Neurospora crassa OR74A: one gene and its partners. The protein of the gene in region 2 interacts with the protein of the main gene of each other region in a pairwise test. Links are inferred from orthologs where the notes say so. Each region holds a gene or a part of one and is shown on either strand. Other genes may lie near its edges. The genes, in order: NCU00301, NCU07011, NCU06272 and NCU03051.

Evidence for each region.
Region 1: the proteins of NCU07011 (region 2) and NCU00301 interact in binary tests that used the Saccharomyces cerevisiae proteins (3 or more experiments, as listed by UniProt). The link is inferred for Neurospora crassa OR74A from reciprocal best matches to the Saccharomyces cerevisiae genes UTP21 and SAS10.
Region 3: the proteins of NCU07011 (region 2) and NCU06272 interact in binary tests that used the Saccharomyces cerevisiae proteins (3 or more experiments, as listed by UniProt). The link is inferred for Neurospora crassa OR74A from reciprocal best matches to the Saccharomyces cerevisiae genes UTP21 and RRP5.
Region 4: the proteins of NCU07011 (region 2) and NCU03051 interact in binary tests that used the Saccharomyces cerevisiae proteins (3 or more experiments, as listed by UniProt). The link is inferred for Neurospora crassa OR74A from reciprocal best matches to the Saccharomyces cerevisiae genes UTP21 and DIP2.

The regions. Positions count from the first base shown.
Region 1 is NC_026503.1:3,361,547-3,367,672, reverse strand, and holds NCU00301 (Sas10/Utp3 family protein), read left to right. Parts: upstream 1-2,217; 5' UTR 2,218-2,366; coding exon 2,367-3,761; intron 3,762-3,819; coding exon 3,820-4,308; 3' UTR 4,309-4,512; downstream 4,513-6,126. Other genes in the region: NCU00302 (3-ketodihydrosphingosine reductase tsc-10), read right to left, coding at 530-1,462, 1,533-1,688; gpr-5 (PQ loop repeat protein), read left to right, coding at 5,798-5,856, 5,919-6,126. UniProt on the Saccharomyces cerevisiae protein: Primarily required at the G2/M phase. Essential for viability: involved in nucleolar processing of pre-18S ribosomal RNA as part of the ribosomal small subunit (SSU) processome.
Region 2 is NC_026504.1:4,897,773-4,903,770, reverse strand, and holds NCU07011 (WD repeat containing protein 36), read right to left. Parts: upstream 3,961-5,998; 5' UTR 3,897-3,960; coding exon 3,759-3,896; intron 3,697-3,758; coding exon 996-3,696; intron 871-995; coding exon 518-870; 3' UTR 160-517; downstream 1-159. Other genes in the region: NCU07010 (cortical actin cytoskeleton protein asp1), read left to right, coding at 5,730-5,998. UniProt on the Saccharomyces cerevisiae protein: Involved in nucleolar processing of pre-18S ribosomal RNA and ribosome assembly.
Region 3 is NC_026503.1:2,144,629-2,150,785, forward strand, and holds the start of NCU06272 (mito ribosomal protein S16), read left to right. Parts: upstream 1-2,178; 5' UTR 2,179-2,340; coding exon 2,341-2,799; intron 2,800-2,857; coding exon 2,858-6,157. Other genes in the region: NCU06271 (hypothetical protein), read right to left, coding at 1-850, 925-1,212.
Region 4 is NC_026501.1:8,275,317-8,281,241, forward strand, and holds NCU03051 (WD domain-containing protein), read right to left. Parts: upstream 3,584-5,925; 5' UTR 3,470-3,583; coding exon 3,453-3,469; intron 3,384-3,452; coding exon 506-3,383; 3' UTR 160-505; downstream 1-159. UniProt on the Saccharomyces cerevisiae protein: Involved in nucleolar processing of pre-18S ribosomal RNA.

The DNA of each region.
Region 1 (6,126 bases), on a different chromosome or scaffold from region 2:
AATGGATGGAGTTCCGAGCTAATGTAGTTCACCGACTGATACCTATCCACATGTATACTGGCGAAGGTCAAAAGCTCTGAACCGAAGCTCACACATTCCATCGATACAATCCGTAAGTCTAGTATACAGTAAGAGCAGGTTCTGCCAGAAGATTCATACAGTCTGCAACAGGGGCATACCATGGGTTTAGCAGGTAGTCATCTTTCTGTCTCCGCACTCACCAAGTGGTGCTCCAAACATCTTGACGTCGGAATATACACTTATTGCTGGACAACACAAGCAGGGTATAAAGTCGTTGTCACCCAACTAAGCATGGATTGCTCATTCTTGGTGTCAAAACGCATCCGGATCGCGGTGAAGACGTAGTGCTTTGACTTCAAGGTGAGTGTCTCACAAAGGAGACGGGGGACTTGTCCAGGTTGTCTTGAGGCTGATATCGGTCTATTACAACAACAAAGTTATTACAGTATTTTTATGTTCATAGATATCATATACACATCCATACAAAAGAACAGATCCAACCATCGCATCACTTCTTCTTGGGATGCGTAAAAGGATGCCCCTTTTCCCTCGCCCACTTCACAATCGTTGAGTTCATCCCCCTCAACACGAAGAAGTAGATGATCGGTATGAGCCACCCCATCAACGTGTCCAGCACCCAGTTGTTCCTCGGCGACCCGCCCATGATCCCGCACTGCATCAGCCTTCCCAGGAATGACACATCGACAAAATACTTGCCAGCCTCCAGCCCGGCAATCGCCCTCCTTGCTACCGTATCCGGGCTTTCCGCTGGCTCGTCCTTTTCCAGCTCCACCGTGATGTCCGGCTTCGTCTGATTTTCCCTCTCGTAGCCCGGTGATACAATCGTGCCGGGATACACAATGTGCACCTTGACCGGGTTATCTGGGTAGTAATTGACCTCCATCGCCAGGGTATCCGCCAGTCCTCTCAGCGCCCATTTGGTTGGGGTGTACGGGCCATAGCCCAAAATCGCAAAAAGCGCCAACATTGACGCGGTAAATACCAAGTGCTTCGGCTCTCCGTTGGGTCCCGTGCTGTTTTCGGGTGCCAGCCACTCCCTCAAAATCGCCCGCGACATCTCCGCCGACCCAAAGTAGTTGACGTCCATGTTGCGGCGTGCGGCCGCCATGCTGCCATCGTCGGTCCACAGCAGAGGCGTCGACATGCCGGCCACGCACCAGACGATGTCCGGGGAGCGCCCGCCATTCCAGGCGATAGCTTCGGCGAGGACCGCGGCGGCGTAGTCGTGCTCGGAAACGTCGGCTGAGATGTAAGTGAAGCGTTGTGTGGACGGGTTCTTGGCGGCGGCGCGGACGTCGACGAGGGCTTCTTCAAGGCGCCCGACGTTGCGCGAGACGAGGATGACATTGGCGCCCTTTTGCGAAAGTTGGATGGCCGCTGAGCGGCCCATGCCTTCGGAGGCGCCGGTTAGGAGGACGGTCTGGTAACAGGGGTTGAGTTAGTGTTGTTTGGAGGTCGGGTCAGGTCGGGTGAGGCTTCGGGGCGCATACCCGGCCCTCGACTGGCATGTGGTTTTTGGAGCTGAAGAGACCCATTGTAGCAAATATGCCAATGGCCGCGACGACGGCTGCAACTGGGAGAGACCAGGAGGTGCTGAGGGTTTTCAATTGTTCCATCAGCGACTCTGAGAAGAGATAATGGTTCATCCTTCCTTGGATCGTGAAAGAAGATCGGGCTCGAGGAAAGTGGAATTGTTGACGCGGCGGCGCCTAAGCTATTCTGTATACGTCTAGAGTACGAACGAGTACCTCTACGGCGTAAATTTAGTGGATGCTGTCAGCAGTTCCCGTCGTACTGGAGCTTACACCCCTGTCTGTAAGTGACTTGTTGATGGGTGATGATTCGACCGATTTCTTCGCACTCCGTAGGAAAATGAGGTTTCTGGAACCATTTGCTGGAGTTTGCGTTTTCGAGTCTTCAGAAGCGGTTTTCTCTACTGTCATAACTGAACCCATTGAGGTCATGTCAACGTAAATCTGGCAGGCCTGGGGGGCATCTTGGAGCTTCCCGTCGACCCTGAGGACGGGATGGAAGCTTTGACCATTTCAGATGTAACTGTGGAGCATCTTCAATTGTGGGGTTAGGCAGCCTGCATGAGAGTGGAGCTGGGCGGTCGAGGTTCCGCTGAGAATGGATCGCAAATTGACAAGAGCAAAAAAATTCTGCCGCTTCAACATTTGTTGCCCGCCTAGCGAACGAACCCACCAGCCCATTCAACGAGCATCTCCAAGTGCCTTTTGGCAGCGTCTTCACGTCAACGTTTCTCAGTCGCGCCAAACTCCATCCAACACGCCTGAATAGATAACCGCGACACAAACGCAAAAATGGCGAAGAAGAGAAAAGCCCCGAGACCGACCGGTCCCGCCGAGCCTCGCGAGGTCGATGCCAAGGACGCCCGCCTTACCGTTAAGACTTACAAAGATGTCGCCAACTCCGAAGACGAATACTGGGAGAACCAGGATCGCATCGACTTTGACGACAGCGATGATGGCAGACAATCCAAGCGCAGGCGCCAAGACAAGGAGGAGGAGTTCCTAGAGGCTTCTGACGAGGAGGTTTTCGAGGAGGACGAATCCGATGAGGAGAGCGAACACGAAGACGCCGCGCCCGCGAAGGGCAAGAAGGTCAAGACAACAGTACTTTCCGACGAAGAGATGGGTGGTGAAGAGGAGGAAGAAGGTGACGAAGGATGGTGGGGTTCCTCCAGAAAGGACTACTACAATGCCGACCAGATCGAGACCGAGGCCGATGCCTTGGAGGAAGAGGCTGAGGCAAAGAGGCTCCAGGCCAAGAAGTTGGCCAAAATGTCCGAGGCCGATTTCGCGTTTGACGAGAGCGAATGGCTAGGAACCAAGGAGGAGGCCGAGGGAGAGGAGGATGTCATTACCGAGAAACTCAACGAGATCGAAGTCACAGAGGACATGGGGCCGGAAGAAAGATACAAGCTTCTACAGAGCCGATATCCCGAGTTTGACTACCTGGCGCAGGAGTTTAGGGAGCTGCAGCCGATTCTCACAACTCTTCAAAAAGAGGCCGAGGGCAAGCCTGCCAAGTCTCTGGAGATGGTCAAGTTCTGGACTCTTGGGTGTTACATCGCTTCACTCGCCAGTTATTTCGCTATCCTGACTTCGCCAGCAAGAGACAGCCAAGGTGTGTCCAAGACGATCAGCCCTACGGAACTCAGGGACCACGAGGTTATGGGCACGTTAATGAGCTGTCGCGAGGCCTGGCTTAAGGTCAAGGAACTCAAGCCGCTCAAGAGCGTCTCCTCGACCAGCGGCATGCTTTCGCCACCCGAAGATGAGGGCGAGTATGATGACCTGTCTGACGACGATATGGAGGACTTCAAGAAGATGCTCAAGAAGAGCAAGCGCGAATCCAAGGCTGAGCTCAAGGCCAAGGCGAAGAAGGAGGCCGAGAAGGCCAAGAAGGCCAGGGCTGTCGAGCAGTCTCTTGCCGATCTCTCCAGTTTGCTTGAAACCACCAAGACGGCAACCAAGGCCAGCAAGAAGTCTGTCAAGGTCGACAAGCGCGATGACGATGAGCGCTCCGACTTTGGTGACGAGGAGATCCTTGAAGCTCACGTGGCCAAGGAGAAGGCTGCTCGCAAGAAGAGTCTCAAATTCTACACCTCCCAGATTGTGTCCAAGTCCGCCAAGCGTGCGGATGCGGGTCGCAACGCCGGTGGTGATGACGATCTTCCCTACCGTGAGAGATTTGTAAGTCGGCCATTGCCTAAAAAACATGCCGTGTTGTCATATACTGACTTTTGCGCAGAGAGACAGGCAAGCACGGCTCAACGCCGAGGCCGAGAAGCGCGGCAAGAAAGACAGCAAGCACGGCGCCGTGCTGGGCGAGGGCGACAGCGACGACGAGGACAAGGCCGTTGCCAAGCAGGTGCGCGGAGAGGAGGACGAGTACTACGACATGGTGGCGCACAACGCGGCCAAGAAGAAGGAGGACAAGGCGGCCAAGTACGAGGCTTTGGCGGCTGCCAAGGGCGCCCGGGTCGTGGAGGAGACGACGATCGGCCCCGACGGCAAGCGCCAAATCAACTACCAGATCCAGAAGAACAAGGGCCTCACGCCGCATCGCAAGAAGGAGAACCGCAACCCGCGTGTCAAGAAGAGGATGAAGTACGCGGAGAAGCAGAAGAAGCTCAAGAGCGTCAAGGCCGTGTACAAGGGCGGCGAGGGCAAGGGCGGGTACCAGGGAGAACTGTCGGGTATCAAGACCGGCTTGGTCAAGAGTATCAAGCTTTCTTGATAGGGCTCTGGTTGTCGTGGTTGTTGGACTGGTTTGTAGTACTCTGGGTATATCATGCATGTATAGATTTTTGGGTTGTTGATAATCATGGCCTCAACGGAAATGGAAAAAAGCAGGCTTGCACACACAATGGCATTGTATTTCTTGAACACACTTGATACCTCTTCAAGATCTACAATATCTACAATGTCCAGTATTCTCAACACCGGAGGTCGCCGGTACTCGCACCCTGTTCAATCGTGTTAGTACAGGTTCATGGTAAACCCCGGGTCTGAGAATAGGGCTATATAAGAATCCCTCTCATTTTTTTTCTTTTTCTTTTCCATCCCAATTTTTAGTTCCTCTTCGTTTCTGTGCCCTTCCCTGGCATTTCTTGTGTGCCAGATTCCGAAAGAGCGAAGGCGATGTTGACTTGGAAAGGATACAAGGCCTGCGAGGGAGCCAATAGGAGCTCTGAGACGAATCAATGCAAATGCCCAAATCTCAACTTTGGATAAATGTAACACCACCACATGATAAATTATTAGATTGGGCAGTTTCTGAACAAACACAACATCCTAAACCGAACACTTCAATTTCGTTATCTTCAGTACAGGTATCTTCAACACGGATCGTTCAAGAAGTAGAGGTAATTTTTGGGATGAAACACTGGAATGTTAGAGCAATGATTAGGACATGCCACATTATTTTTTTCCAGTCCACCATGACTTCTTAAACCCACCAGGCAAAAGGAAGAGTTCCAAACCAACAGTCTGTTTTCGGTCTATCCAGAAACCCAGGTTTCCCTCGAAGGGTTCTCATGCTGTTGTTGGATGTTGTTGTACTAGGGTTTCACCTAGCGGTTGACGTACCCCACAAGATCCACCTACAGCCCGGGACGCTTGAGCCGCCTGAGACGTGCATGCTTTTAAGGGCTCTTTTGCCGCCGCCGAGGATGCATTACACGTATCTTGCAGCCAGGCGGGTCAACCTTGGGTCTTGGGGGAACCGGTTTGCGGATGAAGAGGCAAAGGATTTAAAACTAGTCATGCGACCATCAGACTTTTCACCATGTATGACTCGAATCGGATTGTAATCAGGTCGACTCTTTCCTTTGTTCAGCCTTTTTTGTTGACTTTGCATTTTGCATCGTTATCTTGAGCCTCACTTCAGTGTGTACTCTGTAACTCTTTGACCGACCGCTCATGAATCCTCAGGGCGGCTCTCAATTGAAGTGACGTATCTCCTGTCTACCAAACCCACAAAACAAGGACACAACAACAAAGAGCGAGGTGAACTGGGCATCCAAGTTCCAACGAATCTTGGGGGCAAACAACTCAATCGATAAGGCGGGAGAGTAAAGCGCATCAACAAAAACGCTTTCATTCAACCATCGCATCCTTCCTCACGCTTAAACCCACAAGTATTCTCAACCTGTACCTATCAAGAGACGGTTGCACAAAACAGTGAGACAGCATTACACGCGGTCCTACGGACAACAGCAGCCACCATGGCGCCCCCGACCGAACTCCTCAACCTCGACGTCGAGGCCATATCGGGGATCCTCGGGTAGGTCTCATTCCACTCCCAATTAACTTCACCTTCTCCATCTTACTAAACCCTCTCAACAGCTCCGTATCAATAGCATGCTGGGTCGTCGTCTTCTCCCCGCAAATCATCGAAAACTTCCGCCGCTCATCCGCCGACGGGCTCTCCATCCAATTCATCATCATCTGGCTAACGGGCGATGTCTTCAACATCTTGGGGGCCGTATTGCAAGGGGTCCTGCCGACCATGCTCATCTTGGCCATTTATTACACCATTGCCGACGTGGTGCTT
Region 2 (5,998 bases):
TGAATAACAACAACAACAATATATACATAACAATTCTAATCGCGCAATGCGTTTATCTAGGTACCATACCTTTCATAGGGAACCGAACCGTTTTACAAATTCAGACGAGGAAGTTAGGAAGTACCATAGTAGATTCAGTTGACGTGACATGACAAGAGAGATAGATGTACTGGTATTGGTTAGGTATACGTCGATAACACTTTTTATCTATCCCAATTTTTCCCATTCATCCAGCCATCCATCCATCCATCCTAGCAAATAAGAGATAAACATGGGCTAGTTGTTTAAAAGAAAAAAAAAAAAAAAAAAAGACCCATAATGTAAATACTATCAAAAATAGATCGGATTCGCTCATATCATATGTTCCACAATCCCAACCGACTTTTACAGCTACTCACTCGCTCATAGGTAGCCATCATGCAAGCCTTCCCTTTCCCTTCCCCTTTCCCTTTCCCTTCCCTTTTCCTTCCCTCCTTTCCCATCCCTCATCTAGACTAAGCTGGACCCATGTCTATGGTTATGTCCTAGGACTCCTCAAGAACCCAACCACACCACCACAGTAGCCCACCAAATCATCCAACCGCTTCTTTTCCCTTTCCTGCTGCTCCTTCCACTTGCCCAACTCCTTCAGCAGCGTCTCGCTCTCCATAATCACGTCAAAGTGCAGTCGCAAAAAGACCGTCATCCACGCTTGCGTGAGCTCGTAGTCGCGGCGTTGGGCGAGGCGTTGCGTCATGGCGCGGATGAAGTGGAGGAGTTCGTTGCTATCTTCAGAAGACTCCGGATCAAGGCCGCCGATGGAAAGGGAGCGGAGTTCGAGATCGGCGGTGGAGGGGGAGAGGGATTTGAGGTGGGTGATGAAGGGGGTGTCTATCAAACGGTGATGGTTAGTAAAATAAACCGGATGAAAAAAGGGAAGTAATAAAAGAAAGGGAAAAAAAAAAAAAAAAAAAAAAAAAAAAAAAAAAAAAAAAAAAAAAAAAAAAAAACCTTACAATCACCCGTCTCGGCACCCTCCAACAACTTTGCCGTAAACGTCTGATACGTCCTTGTCGTCTCGAGTTGCGTCAATTTCGAAATTCGGCTCTCCTCCTCATCCTTCTTTTCGCCCTCCGTCAACAGCAGTGGGTTCGTCGTCCCATCCCGGAGCGAAGGCAAAAAGAAGGGCGCCTTCTCAGGCGCCTTGGGCGGCTCCTTGGGCTTGTTGCGCTGCTTGATCAGGTCAATGTGCAGCAGCGTCTGCCACCTGCTTTTGGGCACCAGACTGAGCGTCACCATGTCGGCGCTGAGCTGATCGAGGACCGGCGCAGACACGCCCTCATCTTCTTCGTCCTCCTGTTCATCCTCAAAGGCCGCCTCGATGAGACCTTGACCGCCCTCGCCTGAGCTGGTAGGTCCGGCCGAGATTTCGGCAATGTCTTTCTCGGATATTTGTCTGGTCGGCACGTGTCTGAACAGCGTTCTGTTGGTCCAGATGTGCACGCCCAGCTCGCCCTCGGTGGCGCCGGCGAGGTATTCGCCCGTGTTGGAAAAGGCGATGGCGGTGCAGGGTTTCTCGAGCCGGAAGGCGTCGATGAGGTGAGCCGTCGGCAGGTCCCAGACGCGGACGACGCGGTCCTGCGAGGCGGCCACGATCCACCGGCCGTCGTTGGAGAAGGTGAAGTCGTTAATGGTGTCGCGGCAGCCCCAGAACTCTCTGATGGTCTGCTTGGTCTCGATGTCGACAACGCGGATCGAATTGTCGTCGCACGCGAAAGCGATGAGATCGTTGCCGGCGTGGTAGCGACAGCCCGTGATCTGCACCATGGGCGCCCAGTCAATCTCGTCGACTAGGTTGCCCGTGACAAAGTCCCAGAACTTGACGGTGCCGTCGAGAGAGCAGGAAATCACGAAGCGGTTTAGCGGGTCGACCACGATGCCGGTTACGGACTTGGTGTGCTTGCCCGAGCCGGGGGCAAAGGAGGTCTTGGAGGAGGCGCGCTTCTCGAGCTGGCTCACCTTGTCGAGAGCCTTAAGTTGCTGCATCTTCAACTGGCGCATCTGGGCGGGAGTGAGTCGGGAGGGGAAGCGTTGCTTGTGACGGCCGGATTGGAGGTTGAACATGTCTAAGCTACCACCAACGGAGCCAACAAGAGCGAAACTGCCGCAAGGGCTGATAGCCACGGTAGAAACATTTTCGCCATCTCCGGTCTTGAACGCCCACCTACCAGCACGCTTGCGGCCCCAGAACCAGGTGCGAGCCCAGGGGTCGTTCTTATGAGCTGTTACTACGCTTTCCCAGCCGGTCATAGCAGCGAGCTCGGACTTGGTCGGCTTGCTCTTGTCATTGCCCTTGTCCCAGATGACCTGCCTACCGGGCATAGCGCCCATGCCGCCATCGCGGTTGAGCGAGGAGGCGATGCATGTGATTTCGGGAGCCTTGAGGTCGTCCAAAGATGTAGTCGGGCCGTGGCCGCCGAGGGCGGTATTAGCAAGAATACCCACCTTCTTGGCCTTTTTGCGAAGAGCACCCTGACTGAGCTCAGAGCTCTGGCCATCGCGGCGCAAACTCCAGCCCCACAGACTCCTGTCCTTGCCACCACTGAGAAGCCACTTGTTGCCGGCCTCGGCGCCATCGAAATCGGTTGGCAAGAATTGCAGGCAGTTGACGGGGGCGGCATGGCCGCTGCGCATGTGAAGGATACGGGGGACGGGCGAGAAGGGCGATTCGTCGAAGATCCAGGACTTGAGCGAGTTGTCCAAACCACTGGTCATGATAACGGGCTGTCCTGGGAGGAACTCAACCTTGCTGATGCCTCCGCGCACAGTCTTGTCGGTGTGTGATGGGGGATTATGGGCGCTCCGGAGTACACCCATCACTCTGCCGCCCTTGTTGAGATCCCAGAATGTGACATCTCCACCAATGCTTGTGGCGGTAGCCATGACGCCATCTTTTGTACCATCTTGACCAGCACCCTGACCGTCGGTTCGGAAGGAGATGCTTGTAACGGGGGCGTGTTCGGATCCGGCCATCAACTTGAGGGAGGCCTTGTCGGTAAGGACGTTGTGGATGACGAGAGGGCCGTTCGAGTAGGCGATGGCGAGAAGCGAAAGTGCCGGGGTAGGCTCCATACAGGTGACAGATCCAGCGTCGGGAGAGGGCGGAAGGATGGTGTAGATGAGCTTGCCGGTGCTGACGTTCCAGATCTCTACCCAACCGTCCTTGCGACCGACCAAGATCTTGTTGAGGAAGGTAGGCATGTTGACTACGCCACCAGTGAGCTCGTTGTCGCCCTTCTTTGCGGCAACGGAAAAGATGGTCGTGTAGTGTTCGAGGGTGGCCGACTTCCATACTTCGAGGCGGGTTTGGGCGCATGCAACAATCCAGGAACCGAAGATGAGGATCTGCTTGATGGGCTGGTTGAGGTCGGCGGGCAGCTCAAGCTCGGCTACCTTCTTTCCGCGCTGATAAACCCAGATACCTTGGGCCTCGCCATTTTGAGGGTTACCCCAAGCGGCGAATACCTTTTCCTTCCAAGCATATGTGGCGGTAATGTCGGCGGGAGTCTGGGGGCGGGTAACGAAGACGAGATTGAGACCTCTCTTTAGGTCATAGGTCTGGAGGGAGCGGCCGACCGAGGTAGTGATCTGGAAGGTGGTCTTGCCGAGAGGGATGGAGGTAAAGGGGACGCTTGTTGGAGATACCAAGCCTACAGTCTATGAGTGGTGAGTTTGGTGTTAGTTTGAGGACTTCATGCGACCGGCTATTAGGGACGTACTCTGAAGGGAGCAAAGATGGAGGAACCCTTCTTCTTCTTCTGAGGCGCCTTGGACTTGACGACAGAGGCATTGAGCTTCTGCCGCTTGGCGGATGTGATTTCGCGATCGGAATGCGGCATCATGTCGTCGAGTGGCATATGCTGCCAACTACCACGATGTCTGCGAATGCCTTTCAGTTGCAAAGCCTTGTTGAAAGTCGCAGTTTGAAGATTTCGATAATAGTAGCCTTGTCGCGGTGGACCAGAAATTTTCAGCCACAGTTTGGGGTCGGTTGGGGCAGGCAAGTGGGAGCTTCATGTGATTGGTCTGCCTCGCCATGTGGGGTAGCATGAAAGCTGGACGCATGTGGGACCACCGTCTGGCTAGGACCCACAGAGCTTAAATCCAGCACTGTGTATCTGTGTACTGCATAGTAGGAACCTCCTGCGATCCCGGCCGCATTTTGCAGCCTTTCAGTTACCGGGATTACCGTTTCCCATCATCGCAGAAGTCGAGACTGTGTTCCAAACTGCAGTAAACCCCACACCTCCATCTGCCCCGCCAACTGGGCGAAAAAGCTCTTGCTTGTGAAACACAGCACAGCACAGCACAGCACAGCATCACCATCCCCTGTCCGCTTCAGCGTCGAAATGCTAGGTTGCCTGCGGCGTCATCATCCCGTCCATCGAACCCACCTCAGGTCGTCCACCCATAGAGGTACCACGGCATACGGTTCGCAATGACACCCACCTTCAGCGTTCTTCTGGATTTTCTCTGCGGCTATCGCAGTATATCATAGGGCGCCAGCAAGGGTTTAGTTTGGCATGACACCCACCTTCTGGTACCAGTAGTCAACGCGCAATGGGCTCTTTGGTGTCCATCATTGTCGATCACTAGAGAGGTTTTTTTTTTCCTGTGTCTATCCAAGCACGCCAATGACGAAAGAGACTGGACCTCCAGTTATGACGACGAAGTGGCTGTAAATATAACCGAATTAGACAGTCCAACACGGCTCGCTTTAGTCAGGAAAGGCCATCACAGAATTTCGAGAGGGATGGTAAAAAAAAAAGTCGAAAAGACATCAGCCAGAGTTACCTGGGAATTTCTCCATGCAAAATTGCCTGAGAGTTAGTCTAGTTTCCAAAGGTAGCATGAAAAGTGTATTCTAACGACCATTCATTCGGTTGATGGCCATGTAGTACCCGAGAAAGTGCCAGCCTTTCTGCCATGAGCTACCAAAACTCCGGTGTAAGGGAATGAACTAATGGTGGGATCCAGATGCACTTACACGTAGACGTTCAGAATTGGGACTAGTAGGTACTACCGGGTCCGTTTATGGAAATTGCCCACATGCCGCCTTTCCCTCTTGCTTTCTTTCTTTTTTTTTTTTTTTTTTTTTTTTTTTTTTTTTTTTTTTTTTTCCTTTCTCCCTCCCCGCGCAAACAACGCTTGGGCATCATCCCAACTTGGGCTACCTACCTAGCTGTTGTCTCTGCTCGTGTCGCCACAAAGCTATCCACCTTTGTCCAGTTGTGTACCAATGGCTTTCTTGATGATTACATGTTGTTCTTATGAGCTGTGCTTGGATGACAACTGAAACATCCATCTGGAGCTAGAGGGAGGGGGAAAAGGGAAGAAGAAAAGGATCAAAGACAGATTGACATCCCCATCTCCCGTCGTCGAAACACTTGCGGTTATCAATTGCTTAGTTCAGTTGGGACCTTGAAAGCCATTGGGGCCCAATCGCTCTAACCTCTATCTTCTTTCCTTTTTCTTTTATCCTTTATTTGCTTTGAGGAGCTGTCCAGTCTAGTCTAGACATCCACCAAATAAGAAGTGCAGTTCCCCGTTTTCTCCCAATCCAAGCGACGCCCAACATCGAGTCCATTGGGCGGCATCACAATAGTCTAGCCGATCATCACCACTGCCACTGCTATCGCCGACGATATATAAATCCATAGGCTGCACACCTGCAGCTTCCCGCAGGAGCCATGGAAGCACACCTCGAACCCACCTCCCTCGATCGTACGCCAGTGTCCGCCGACAGCGTGCCGTCCTCCGCCTCCGAAGCTTCCTCTTCCACTCATCCGGACCAAGACCCAGACACTCCTGTCGCGACATCAGAAGCAGCAACCGGCGGCTTGGACGTGCCTGTAGAAGAAGCCGAAGACATGGCAGGCACACCGTCGTCGAGCATCGCAGTCCCTGGCGCCATCCCCATCACCAGTGACAGCGGCATCACAAGTACCGGAAAATCCAA
Region 3 (6,157 bases), on a different chromosome or scaffold from region 2:
GCGCATCCTCCATCTCAACGTCCTCGGAATCCTTTGATGGCGGGCTTGTTGCTCCCTCCTGTGGCTCCCCCGTTGACAATGCTGAATCCGTCTGTTTTGTTTCTGTCGTGCCACTCCCTGGCCAAAACCCAAACAGATAACTCCCATAGCTATAAGTCGGCTTTTCTTGGGGTGCAGTCTGTAACGTAGGCTCCTGAGCGTCCGGGGCCTTTGGCGGATCTCCGTCTGATGGCATATTGTTTGAGGATTCCTCGGTTAATTTGGGGGGTTCGGGTACTTCAGGTTCGCCCCCGTTGGGCCTGGGTTCGCTAAGCTTTGGCAGAACCGGGACGGAGGCAGTCAACACTGGATAATAATAGTACGCAGATTGGCCTAGCCACCCTAGCCAGCTGGAGGAAGCTGTTTCTCCCGACTGTGGTTCGGTGGTAGTAGACTGTGAATCCGCAGGCTGGTGTATACCATTAGTGTCTGATGTCGGTTGTTGTTGTTGTTGTTGTTGTTGGGTGTCTGGTGATGGGCGATCCTCGGCTTCATTGCTGCCAGTGGTACTAACAGCAACCTGGTCGGTCTTGGCAACGTTATCGTCCACTGCCGGCCCCGGCTTTGGTACCTCACCGCCTGTGGATCCCCTATCATCAAGGTTCTCGGATGGTAACATGTTTGGAAGAGACGAAGATGAAGCTGCACCATCGAGACTGACACTATCCGTGCTTCTTTCTGTGTCAAAACGGCTAAAGTCTGCTCGCTTTTTTGATCTGAGTGTTCCGCCCATGATTGTTTCACGGGCGACTTGTGTCGAGGGTGTCGATTTGCGTGGCCATGAGCCATACCAACTCCGAGATTTCTGGGGCTGCGAGTCTGTTAGCATCGGGTGTAACAGGCATTAAACAGGCTGGATATGGTGGCTGAAGAGAAATAGGCTACCTCTTTCAGCCCTCGCTTGCTCGAAATAGGAGTTGTATTTGCGGTCGCATTGGGCTGGGATGTTGATAGAGCATTATCAGGTGTCGAGGTCGTCGTCGACGAAGGTGGGTTCGAAGCGGTCGGCATTGGAACGGCTTTTGAACGCCATATAGAGGCTGCTAGGCTCGAGGACGATTTCGGCGGCATATCGGATGTGGACGTTGAGGACTCGGTGACAGCACTACCATCCGCCGGCTCGGTTGGAGGGTTTGGTTTCGCCTTTTTTCGACGACCCATGGTGAAGACCATGGCGAGCAAGGCCAACAACCTAACAGATTCCAGTCCCCTAAGATTATAGGGCAAACTTTGGCCACATTGCCGTTTATTTCGTCAAGTTGAAAGGATCGAAAATGGGCATGCGACGAGTATTGCGTGGCGCCTATACCGTAGGGACAAGTCGACAAGCCGACGAGGCACCGCTCAGGCTACAAATCCGATGTGTACTTCTACTTACACTACACGGGTACCGCCGGCGGGGAGGGAGCGCTTTCATCCATTATCAAAGGCTCCAGCTCGGATGCATGTACGTCATTTGCCAGGTAGCGCACAGTCCAGGGGAACCGGATAGGTAACGAAGTACCTACACTTTATTACCTGGAGAGGGGGACCATGTGAACGAATGCTGATGTTATTACAAGTACCTACTTGATGGTCTAGTGTAGTATCAAATTCATTCTTCCATCAGACTAGAATGATATTCCAATACCGTACGATCCTAACATCAGACGACATGTTAAGTGTAGGTAGGTACCTCTAGACAATTGTACATCCCGCCTTGGAGAATTATATGTACCTCGCAATGGCCAATAGGTAACTCATTGATAGCACGTTCTCAGCAATCCCCTCTATCTCTAGGGTGTAGGTACCTAACGGCCTTCAGTACCCTACCTCTACTTACCGTGTACTTCCCTGCAACGCATGCGGCTGGCCCGTTGGCTGCCCGTCTCCGCCCGTGCAAAAGGTTCGGTACGTACCTGGCCATGAACGTGACAGCGTCCTGTCAGCTGACGCCGTGGCACTCGTGGACACAAGACAGGCGCTGCTAGTACCCCTACAGGGGAACCCCGCAAGACTCAGAACCCGCAACGAACCGACATGCACGCGGCCCGCGTACCTAGAGATGGCAGAATCGTAGCCGATGCTCACCGCATTCCTTATCGTTATCTGGCCACGGTGAACGGCGACGGACCCACCAAAAATTTTCGGCAGCGGACAGTGGAAGCGGCCTGGGTCAGTTTTTGTCAGTGCTTGTCGATTCATTCTGAAGTGTGAAGGCGGGCAAAGGGACGAGGGATCCAGTGCGGGTATCTCTCCAATTGCAACTCCAAACACATCCGTCCATCCATCAGGTCCTTTCTTTATACCCATCAGTTCACAATGGGTGCGCAAAAGCGCAAGGAAGGCCCGGGCGGCGCCCCAGTCAACAAATCAACACAATCAGCCTCCGAATCGAGACCGTCAAAGAGACCAAAGTCCAACGATGCCGGCAGCAAGGCGGGCGCAAAGACGGGCAAGCAGGGCAACAAGCCGGCTCCCAAGTCCGACAAGCCTGCTCCTCCTGCTCCTACCGCCCCGGCTACATCTACGCTGCTCAAGGAAGAGGAGCCAATGTTCCCCAGAGGCGGCGCCAGCATCCTGACACCTCTCGAATACAAGCAAATCCAAGTCCAGGCCAAGAACGACGCCCTGTTCGAGGAGCAATCCAGCAAGGCCACCGCCAAGAAGGCTGGTGAGAAGGAGGGCAAGCAGAAGAAGTCCAAGAAGAGGTCAAAGTCCGACGACACACCCGCGAAGCCCGATGCGGACGCCGTCAAGGTTGAAAGTCTCAACTTCAAGGTATGCGCCGGAACACTCATGGGTTCAGTCCTATCATCCAAGTACTAACTGTCCGCAGCGTCTGGTAAAGGGCTCCTTGGTCCTTGGTTCCGTCTGCGCCATCAACTCTCTCGACATCGCCGTTGCTCTACCCAACAATATTATCGGCCATGTCCCCATCACTGCGATTTCCGCCCCCCTAACAAAACGCTTGGAGGCCAGCGCCGGTAACGACAATGCCGAAGAGTCAGAAGACGAGAACGACAACGACGTTGACCTCGAATCCCTCTTCCAGATCGGCCAGTATGTCCGCGCCTACGTTGTATCGACGGTCGACGAGGCTTCTACACACACCCCTGGAAAGGCCAAGCGCCATATCGAACTCTCCCTTCAACCTTCTCTCGCCAACACCGGTATGGCGGAGCAAGACGTTGTTGTGAACAGCACAGTTATGGCCGCCATTGCCAGTGTGGAGGACCACGGTTATGTTATGGACATCGAGATCGCCGATTCGAAGTTGCAAGGTTTCCTTGCTCGCAAGCAGGTCGACAAGAGCATCCCCCAGGAGGCTCTGCAGCCAGGTGCCGTCCTCCTCTGTATCGTCACCAAGAACGCCAAGGGCAAGGTCGTTCAGTTGTCCACATTGGGTGAAACCATGGGCAACGTCGAGAACGTCCCTTCGACTGCTACCACCATCGACACATTCCTCCCCGGTACTGCCGCCGACGTGCTCGTGTCCGAGGTTTCCAGCCACGGAATTGTTGGCAAGATTATGGGATCGCTGGATGTCACCGCTGATCTGGTTCACTCTGGCGCTGGTCCGGATGGCATCGATCTTGAAGACACATACAAGGTCGGCTCTCGTCTGAAGGCCAGAGTCATCTGCAACTTCCCTACTGCAAAGCACCCCAAGCTGGGTATCTCTGTACTAAAACACGTTACCTCGTTGAAGCCAAAGACTGCTTCCAAGGACGACCAACCAGTGGTGCCATTGCAGGCTCTCCCTCACTCGACGATCGTGGAGAAGTGCACCGTTAAGCAGGTCGAGCCTGAGATCGGTCTTTACGTCGATGTTGGTGTCGAGGGCGTGTCTGGGTTTGTGCACATCTCCCGCGTCAAGGATGGCAAGGTTGATGCCCTCTTCGAGAACAGCGGACCCTATAAGGTGGGATCTGTTCACGCTGGTAGGGTTGTCGGCTACAACGCCTTTGATGGCATGTATCTCATTTCCTTGGAGAAGAGTGTTCTTGAGCAGCCATTCCTTCGCATCGAGGACATTCCTGTCGGTGCAGTTGTTTCTGGTGTGGTTGAAAAGATGGTGGTCAACGCCGCCGGTGTTGGTGGCCTTATTGTCAAGATTGCTGACGGTATCTCTGGCTTGGTCCCCGAGATGCACTTCGCTGACGTTCACCTTCAGAACCCCGAGAAGAAGTTCAGGGAAGGCCTGAAGGTGAAGGCGCGTGTGCTCTCGACTGACGCTGCCTCTCGCCAGATCCGCCTTACTCTCAAGAAGACGCTCGTCAATTCCGATCTTCCTGCCATCCAATCGTATGAGCAAATTGCTGTTGGCCAACAGGCGCTCGGTACCATCATCAACGTCTTGCAGCACGGTGCGATTGTGCAGTTCTACGGCAGGCTCCGTGGTTTCTTGCCAGTTTCTGAGATGAGCGAGGCCTACATTCAGGATCCCAAGGAGCACTTCCGCGTTGGCCAGACTGTCAGCATCTACGTCATCAGCTTCGACCCCGATGCCGCCAAGCTTATTGTTTCTTGCAAGGACCCATCTGCCTTTGGTCTTGAGAAGCAGTTGGCCCTCAAGAAGCTTCAGATCGGTGATGTGGTGTCGGCTAAGGTCACGCAGAAAACTGACGACGATGTTTTTGTTGAGCTTGCCGATAGCTCTCTCAAGGCCATCCTCCCCGTCGCTCACTTGACGGACAAGTCGGTCAGCAAGACTCAGTCTGCCCTCAAGAAAATTCACGTCAACCAGACTCTTGCCGAGTTGGTGATCTTGGAAAAGAACGAGGCTCGCCGTTCCATCATTCTCTCCCAGAAGCCCAGCCTTGTCAAGGCTAGCAAGGAAGGCAAGTTCCTTACTACCCTTGATGGTGCTCGCGTCGGAGATGAGGTTTCTGGTTATATTCGCAACATCACTGCTACGGCTGTCTTCGTCCAGTTCGGTGGCAAGTTGACCGCCTTGCTTCCCAAGTCTATGATTCCTCGCGAGGATCAGGACAAACCCGACTTTGGCATGTTCAAGTCTCAGTCTGTTACTGTCAAGATCACTTCGGTTAACACCGAGCTTAATCGCCTGGTTGTTGCTATCCCCGGTGCTGCGGAGCAGGTTAAGAAGGTCGAGACCAAGGGCGAGAAGGTCGCTAACCCCGTGGATGAATCCATTACCACTTTGGATGATATTTCCATTGGCAAGCTGACCAAGGCTCGCATTGTGTCCGTTAAGGACACCCAGCTCAACGTTCAGCTCGCTGATAACATTCAGGGTCGTATTGATGTTTCTCAGGTGTACGACAGCTGGGAGCAGATCAAGGATACCAAGAAGCCGTTGAAGAGATTCCAGCCCAATCAGGTCGTCCCTGTCCGCGTGCTGGGCGTCCATGACGCTCGCAACCACCGCTTCCTGCCCATTTCCCACCGATCCAGCCACTCCGTCCTCGAACTGTCCGCGAAGCCCAGCGATGTCAAGGAGGGCGCCTCTTCCGAGCCGCTGTCTTTCGACAACCTCAAGGTTGGTTCTAGCTACGTGGGCTTCGTCAACAATGTTGGCCAAGGCCACCTTTGGGTCAACCTTTCCCCCACTGTTCGCGGCAGAGTTAATGCGATGGAGGCCTCTGACGATGTCTCTTTATTGACCAACCTTGCGAAGAACTTCCCTATTGGCTCGGCCCTCCGCGTCCGCGTCGTCTCTGTGGATGCCGAATCCAAGCGCCTCGATCTCTCTGCCAGATCTCCTGGTTCCGAGGACGAGTTGACTTGGGACAAGATCGCACAGGATGTCATCCTTGTCGGCAAGATTACCAAGGTTGACGAACGCCAGGTCATTGTCAAGCTTAGCGAGAGCCTGGCTGGACCCGTTCATAAGGTTGATCTTGTCGATGACTACGAAGAGGCCAACCCTGCCAAGTTCGCTAAGAACGAGATCGTCCGTGTTGCTGTCGTTGAAGTTGACAAGAGCAACAAGAGGATACGTCTGTCTACCAGACCTTCTCGCATCCTCAACTCTTCGCTTCCGGTCAAGGATAAGGAGATCACTCAGAACACCAAGCTCGAAGTTGGCGAAATTGTCCGTGGTTTCGTCAAGAACGTCTCTGACAAGGGTCTCTTCGTCACTCTCGGTGGCACTGTCACCGCCTTCGTCCAG
Region 4 (5,925 bases), on a different chromosome or scaffold from region 2:
GGTGGGACAGGTGTGAGGGGAAATTGGGGAATTGGGGAACATGAGGGAAAAGGGGGAATACAAGACGACGAAGGATGGAAAAAGACAATGATAGTGGACGGTGGACGATAGATTGCGGCACCACGAAGACGAACTGATCAAGACATCACGCGTTTCCCTTCCGGAAGTTAAGATGGAGAATTTGATGGGGGAGATTCAAGACAGAGCAATTTGGAGATAAGGGTAACGAATACTATGCAATGCCGTTTTAACTAGACCCCAACTCCAAAAAAAAGAGAAACGTTGCCCTATTTTACCTTACGAAAGAGAAACGGTATCAACACCGTTCACCCCTTTCTCCTCTACGTCAGACATCATATGTATGTTGTGTTATGTGCGGAACGGATTTGTTCTCTTCCAGATCCCTTCTACTCTTTCCACCTACACTACCCTTCCTCCACCTGTAGGTCACTCCCATGTATCATGCTGGCGTTTGTTTCCTTCGCCAACCCCAACCATCCGACGCTCAAGAAACCTGCACGAAAGCACGCTTTTTAACTGCCTTGTTCTCCTCGTTCTCCTCTTCCCACTTCTCATCAACATAATCCTTCACGCTCTTATGCTGCAACTGCATGCCTACGACCTTGAGCGCCGCAACATTGTACCCCATCTCATCCTTCTGGCGCTTGAGTGCACCACGCAAGTTGGTGCGAATGCCATCCAACATGGCGCGCATCGTCTTGCTCGCCACGATCTGCTTGTGGTGGGTCTTGAGCATGAAGAACAGAATTCTACAAGTAAGCGGGATGTTCATGGAGCGCATGGCAAAGATGTTGAGGAAGGTGAAGAGCATGGGGACGGTGGCGAATGGCAAAACGAGCAGAGCATCATGCAGCGCCGACGCCTTGATCTTCTGCAGCACGTTCATGACATGCTGCTCGGCGCTGATGTTGCCGAGCGCCATGAAAAGCACGTTGCGCTGCGGCGGCGCCACGTTGGGGTTCTGCTGCTTGGCCTCCTCCCACTCCTTGATAGCGTTGAGGTCGGCCATGCCGAGTTCGAGCGCCTCGGCAATGCGCTCACCCGCCATGAGCGTCTCAACCGTCTGCTTGGACGCAGCGCCGACTTCGCGGTTCTCGTCCTCGGCGTCGGGGTCTTGCTCGAGCGAGGTGGTGAGCGTACTCTCGTACAGCTCCTCAATCTCTTTCTCGCGCTCTTCTTCGAGGAAGATCTGCTCGTCCGTCTCCTCCCATACGCGGATACTCTTGTCATGACTAGCGCTGATGAGGAATTGGCCGCTGTGAGCAACGGCAATGGCCCAGATCTCGCCGTGGTGGCCGTCGATCCTCTGAATCTGCTCGAACTTGTCGGCATCCCAGTACTTGATGGTGCGGTCCTTGCTGGCACTGAAGAAATGGTGGCCGTTGCCGTCCGAGTTGTGAGGAACAAAAGCAACTTGGAGGATGGAGTCCTGGTGACCGAAGAGAGCCTTGTGGCAGTCACCGAAATCGAGACCCCAGATTCTGATGTTCTTGTCGGCGGAACTTGTGACAATGAGCTTGTTGTCGTAGGAGATGTCCATGCTGAGAACGGGCAGCTTGTGACCGTAAAGGTTGAGGTAAAGCTTTAAAGAGTCGACGAAGAAGACCTTGACAGTGCTGTCGAGAAGGGCAACAGCAAGCAACTTCGCGTCGGGGGAGAACCTGAGACTCAGGATATCGTCTGATACCTTGAGAATCTTGGACTGGACAAGCTTGAGCTTGGGGGTTGTCCTTGACGTGCCTAGAACCTGTTCCTGAACGATCTTGAAGTCCCAGAACTTGGCTGTCTTGTCAGCACCGCCAGAAACAACGGACTTGCCGTCTGGGTGAACCTGTAGTGACCAGATGGCATGGCCCTCGTGAGCGTTGACGCTCTCTAACAGAGATGCCGAAGCAACATCGTAAAGCTGAAGCTCGCCCTCCTTGGTTCCGACCACGACCACCTTGTCGCCAGGCAAGAAGGAACAGCAGAGCGCGTAGCCACACTCGAATGTCCGGATGCATGTGTTGGTCTTGATGTTCCAGATCTTGAGGGAGCCGTTTGCTGCCGAAGCCAACATCTTGTCGTCTGAGCTGATGGAGAGGGCACGAATGTCTGTTCGGTGTCCGGGAAGCTCCACCGCAAGCGCCTTGTTGTAGTCTGGCGCATCACCCTTGGACTTGAGCTTATCCTTTCCAACAATGGTATATGTCTCGAGCAGGTTGTTTGTGCCTCCAACAAGGAGCTGGAGATCCTTGGTTCCTTGACTGAGGGCCCAAGCGACCGACCGAACCTTGCCTGTTGTCCGCACGATAACATGCTGCACGAAGACGTCGGAGATGTCTGCTTTTGAAATATCATCGGCCTTGTCGTCTTCCTCTTCCGCGTCTGCTTCCTTCTTGCCCTTCTTCGCAGCCAGCTCTCTTCTTCTTCTCCGCTTCCTCGCCAAGCTCTTCTTGATTTCGGCTTCGTTTCGTATCCTCCAAATCTCGACAGACTTCTCGACGCCATGTACTGCAAAATAGTCGCGACGGGGGTGGAAGATGACCTCGACGGCCCTTTCTTTGCTCGAACGGTGTAGTGTGCCGCGATCGTGGAGGAAGTTGATTGCTTGCGAGAGATCGACCTTGCGTGCTGACGAAGCGAGTCCTGCTACATCCAAAGCCCATACCCTCATCTCGCCGTCGTTGCCAGCTGTGACGCATCCACTAAGGTCGGGAGAAACACCAAGCGCCCAGCACTCGCCGCTGTTCTGTGCCACATGGGTCTCGATACAATGCCGTGATGAAAGATCCCAAAGCTTGATGAGCGCATCCTTGCCGGTCGTCAAGAGGAAACCTTCTGTCGCTTCGTTGTCCAGCACCATAGCCTGCTCTTCGTCGTCGCCGCCTTCGGGTATTTGCGGCTCGGGCTCGATGAATCGCAGTCCTGTGATCTGATCCTTGTGTCCTCGTAGCTTGTACTGGCCGACTTCGGCGACCAAATCCCAAACGATCACATCGGTATCCTTTGCGCCACTGGCCAGGCGCACTCCCGACTTGTCGAAGGCCAGTATCGTGATTGCCGACTTGTGTCCATTGAAGCTGACAATGGTGGTGGAGATCTTGCTATCCCACAGCCTGATGCTGCCGTCTTCGTAGCCGACAGCGAATACGTCGGGATCGGTCTTGCTCTGGGCGATGGCAGTGACCTGGGCCTTGCAGTTCTCGTCCTTCCAGCGGTTGAGAAGCTCGCCCTTCTTGATATCCCAAGTTAGAACCTCATTGTTGGCGGCGACGATAGCCTGGCCCGCACCGGTGCCAGATTTGTCTTTGGAGGAGGTCCAGACGAGATTCGAGGAGCTGGTTGCGACGACACCGAAGGACTTGGAGGGCTCGAATTTGCTGTTGTTCCCAGGTGTATTAGAGATGCCATCAGGCGAGAGAAAAGTAGGACAGAATCGCAAGGCTTACAGGTATGATTTGACCATATTTGCGATAATTGGACAGCCACTAGTACAAGATGCCAATCCAAAATAACATGCGCAAGGTCTCTCGCGATTCAATGTCCACTAGCACAATCGTGTCGCCGCTGCGCAGTGGGTTGCCGTCCCTGAACTTTTTTTTGGCGTTGCCAGTCCGGCAAGTGATAAGATAAGAACTTTTGCCGCGTCCATTTCCACCAGCCACTGCCTGCCCAGACGGCCACTGTCCGCTGTGGCTGGCCCGGCCCCTGTCTGAAAGTGGCCCGGTCCCGCCGCCGCATCGTATCACGGCCTGGACGGGTTCTGCGGGGCAGTTTCCAGGCTTGGCGGCGTGTCTTCCGGCGCCAGAGTGGAGCCAAAGTACTTCAGCCTGGAGCCAGCAACGTCAGCCAGCCTGAAGCGAGGACCTGACCCCCTGCTGGGAATAGGGGGTCTGACAACAGGGCCAGAACAGGGTGCAGGCAGTGGTGTTGACAGTGCAAAAGCGTTATAGAACGAATCCGCTTGTATAAGCCCCTTTTCGATAATTGTATGTTTGGTTGAACAATTGTGGATTGTAATTAATGCGTTTCGGTAGTTGGTCTATTTGCGTTTGGATAGCTGACCCGCTAGAACGGTATACTTAAATAGTAATAGTATTTTATATAGAATAAAAAGTAGTGCGTACAATAGGAATTTTCGTTAAAAAGTGGTTCGCGTATATAATAGAAACTTCTATATAATAGAATGTTCAATTATCGAAGGTACTTCATCTTTAATATTTTATTTTATCTCCGAAGTAATAATTAGTTAAACTATCTATTTACAATACAAAATAAACTCGTATAAGAATTATTTTTGAAGGTTCAATTTATATTTTAAATTTATTCTTTTTTCTTTTATAAATATCCTACTATATATATATTAATTTATTTTATTAAACTTTTACTATTGTATATGTAATATAATAATTATTAATTGATATACGATTGGAAGTTGAATGGTATAATTAAATATTATATGAGTATTATTATATTATTTGAAATTATTGTAATATTTATTTAATATTTATTTATAATTTACTACTTTGGGGTTGCTGTTAGTATTTATTTACTATCTTAATTCCGTTGCTATAGGTATTTTTAGGTAGTATACTTTGTGCCTTACCCTTAAAGTAGTTTAGGGCAATTCCCTTATTTACTATTATTGTAAAAATATTAAATATTTATTCCTATTTTCTATTCCTAGTAGCTAGCGTTTAGTAGTATAAAGAAATACGTAGCCCGGGTATTTATTTTACACCTGCTTTTTTTTAAGCCCCTTTATATAGTACCCCGAATTTGTATTAGGATCTTAGATTATTGGTAGTTATTAGTACTAGTATTACTAATATATTACGCTTTAATTTATAGAAACCCTACGATAAGGTGTGTAATAATTTAAATCTATATATTATAATAGTAATTATTTATAATAACGTTAGTATATTGTAGATATATAGTGGGAGTTGGGGGTCGCTACCTATATTTCTTATAGTATATATATTAAGGTCCCCTACGGAAGTGGAAATTTATATATTAATTAGATTGTATATACGGAGTACGCTACTATTAATTTTACTTTTAAATAAAGAAAGTTAAAATAGTATTCGTCGGTTCTATTTATAATACCCCTTAGTATTATAATAAAAAAACTACTAACGACTCTAGCTTCTATTTAGGTCTCTATTCGGAGTTAAGTAGGGATATTTTATAGTTAATTATTATATTACGTAATTATTTTAAATATTTATATAGTTGGAGGGTAGTAGCGCTAAGGGCTTTAGTAATAGTAGGGTAGACGGAATGGAATAGGTGTTAGGTAGTGGGTAGTGGAAGCGATTTAGAACTTCTATTTACTTTTATTATAGGAAATTTCCTCCTAAATTTCTATTTCTTCCTAAATTTCCTTTAAAATTTCTATTTCCTCTTAAACTTCCTTTATTATTATTACTTTTACTTATTTATTATTAATTAAGTAGCTTATAATTTATATTTCTATTACGTTAGTATTGCTTATAATTATTAGGAGAAGAAGTTTATTTGTATTCTATTATATAGAAAAAGTATAGTTATTATTGATTTAGTATTAAATTAGAGTTCTTTCCGTCTATTTAGTAGGTTGCCCCGGTTTATATTTAGTATACTTTAAAATCCTTAAGCGAATTAAATATATTAGGAGTTAGTATAGTTAATTATATTCTAAATAGGAGGGAGCTTAATATATAGAATATTAAAGCTACTATAAAAAAAAATAATTAATTTATAGATTTAATATACTAAAAATTCAAAGTTCGTTAATTTCCTATTTGTACGTAGCTTGCGGTATAGTTGAATATTTACTTAAGAAATGGATAATTTAGCCGGAAGTTTGATAATTTGATTGGGTATCTTATTATTTAATTAAAGTCCTAATATTTAGATTAGGAGTTCGATAGTTAGATT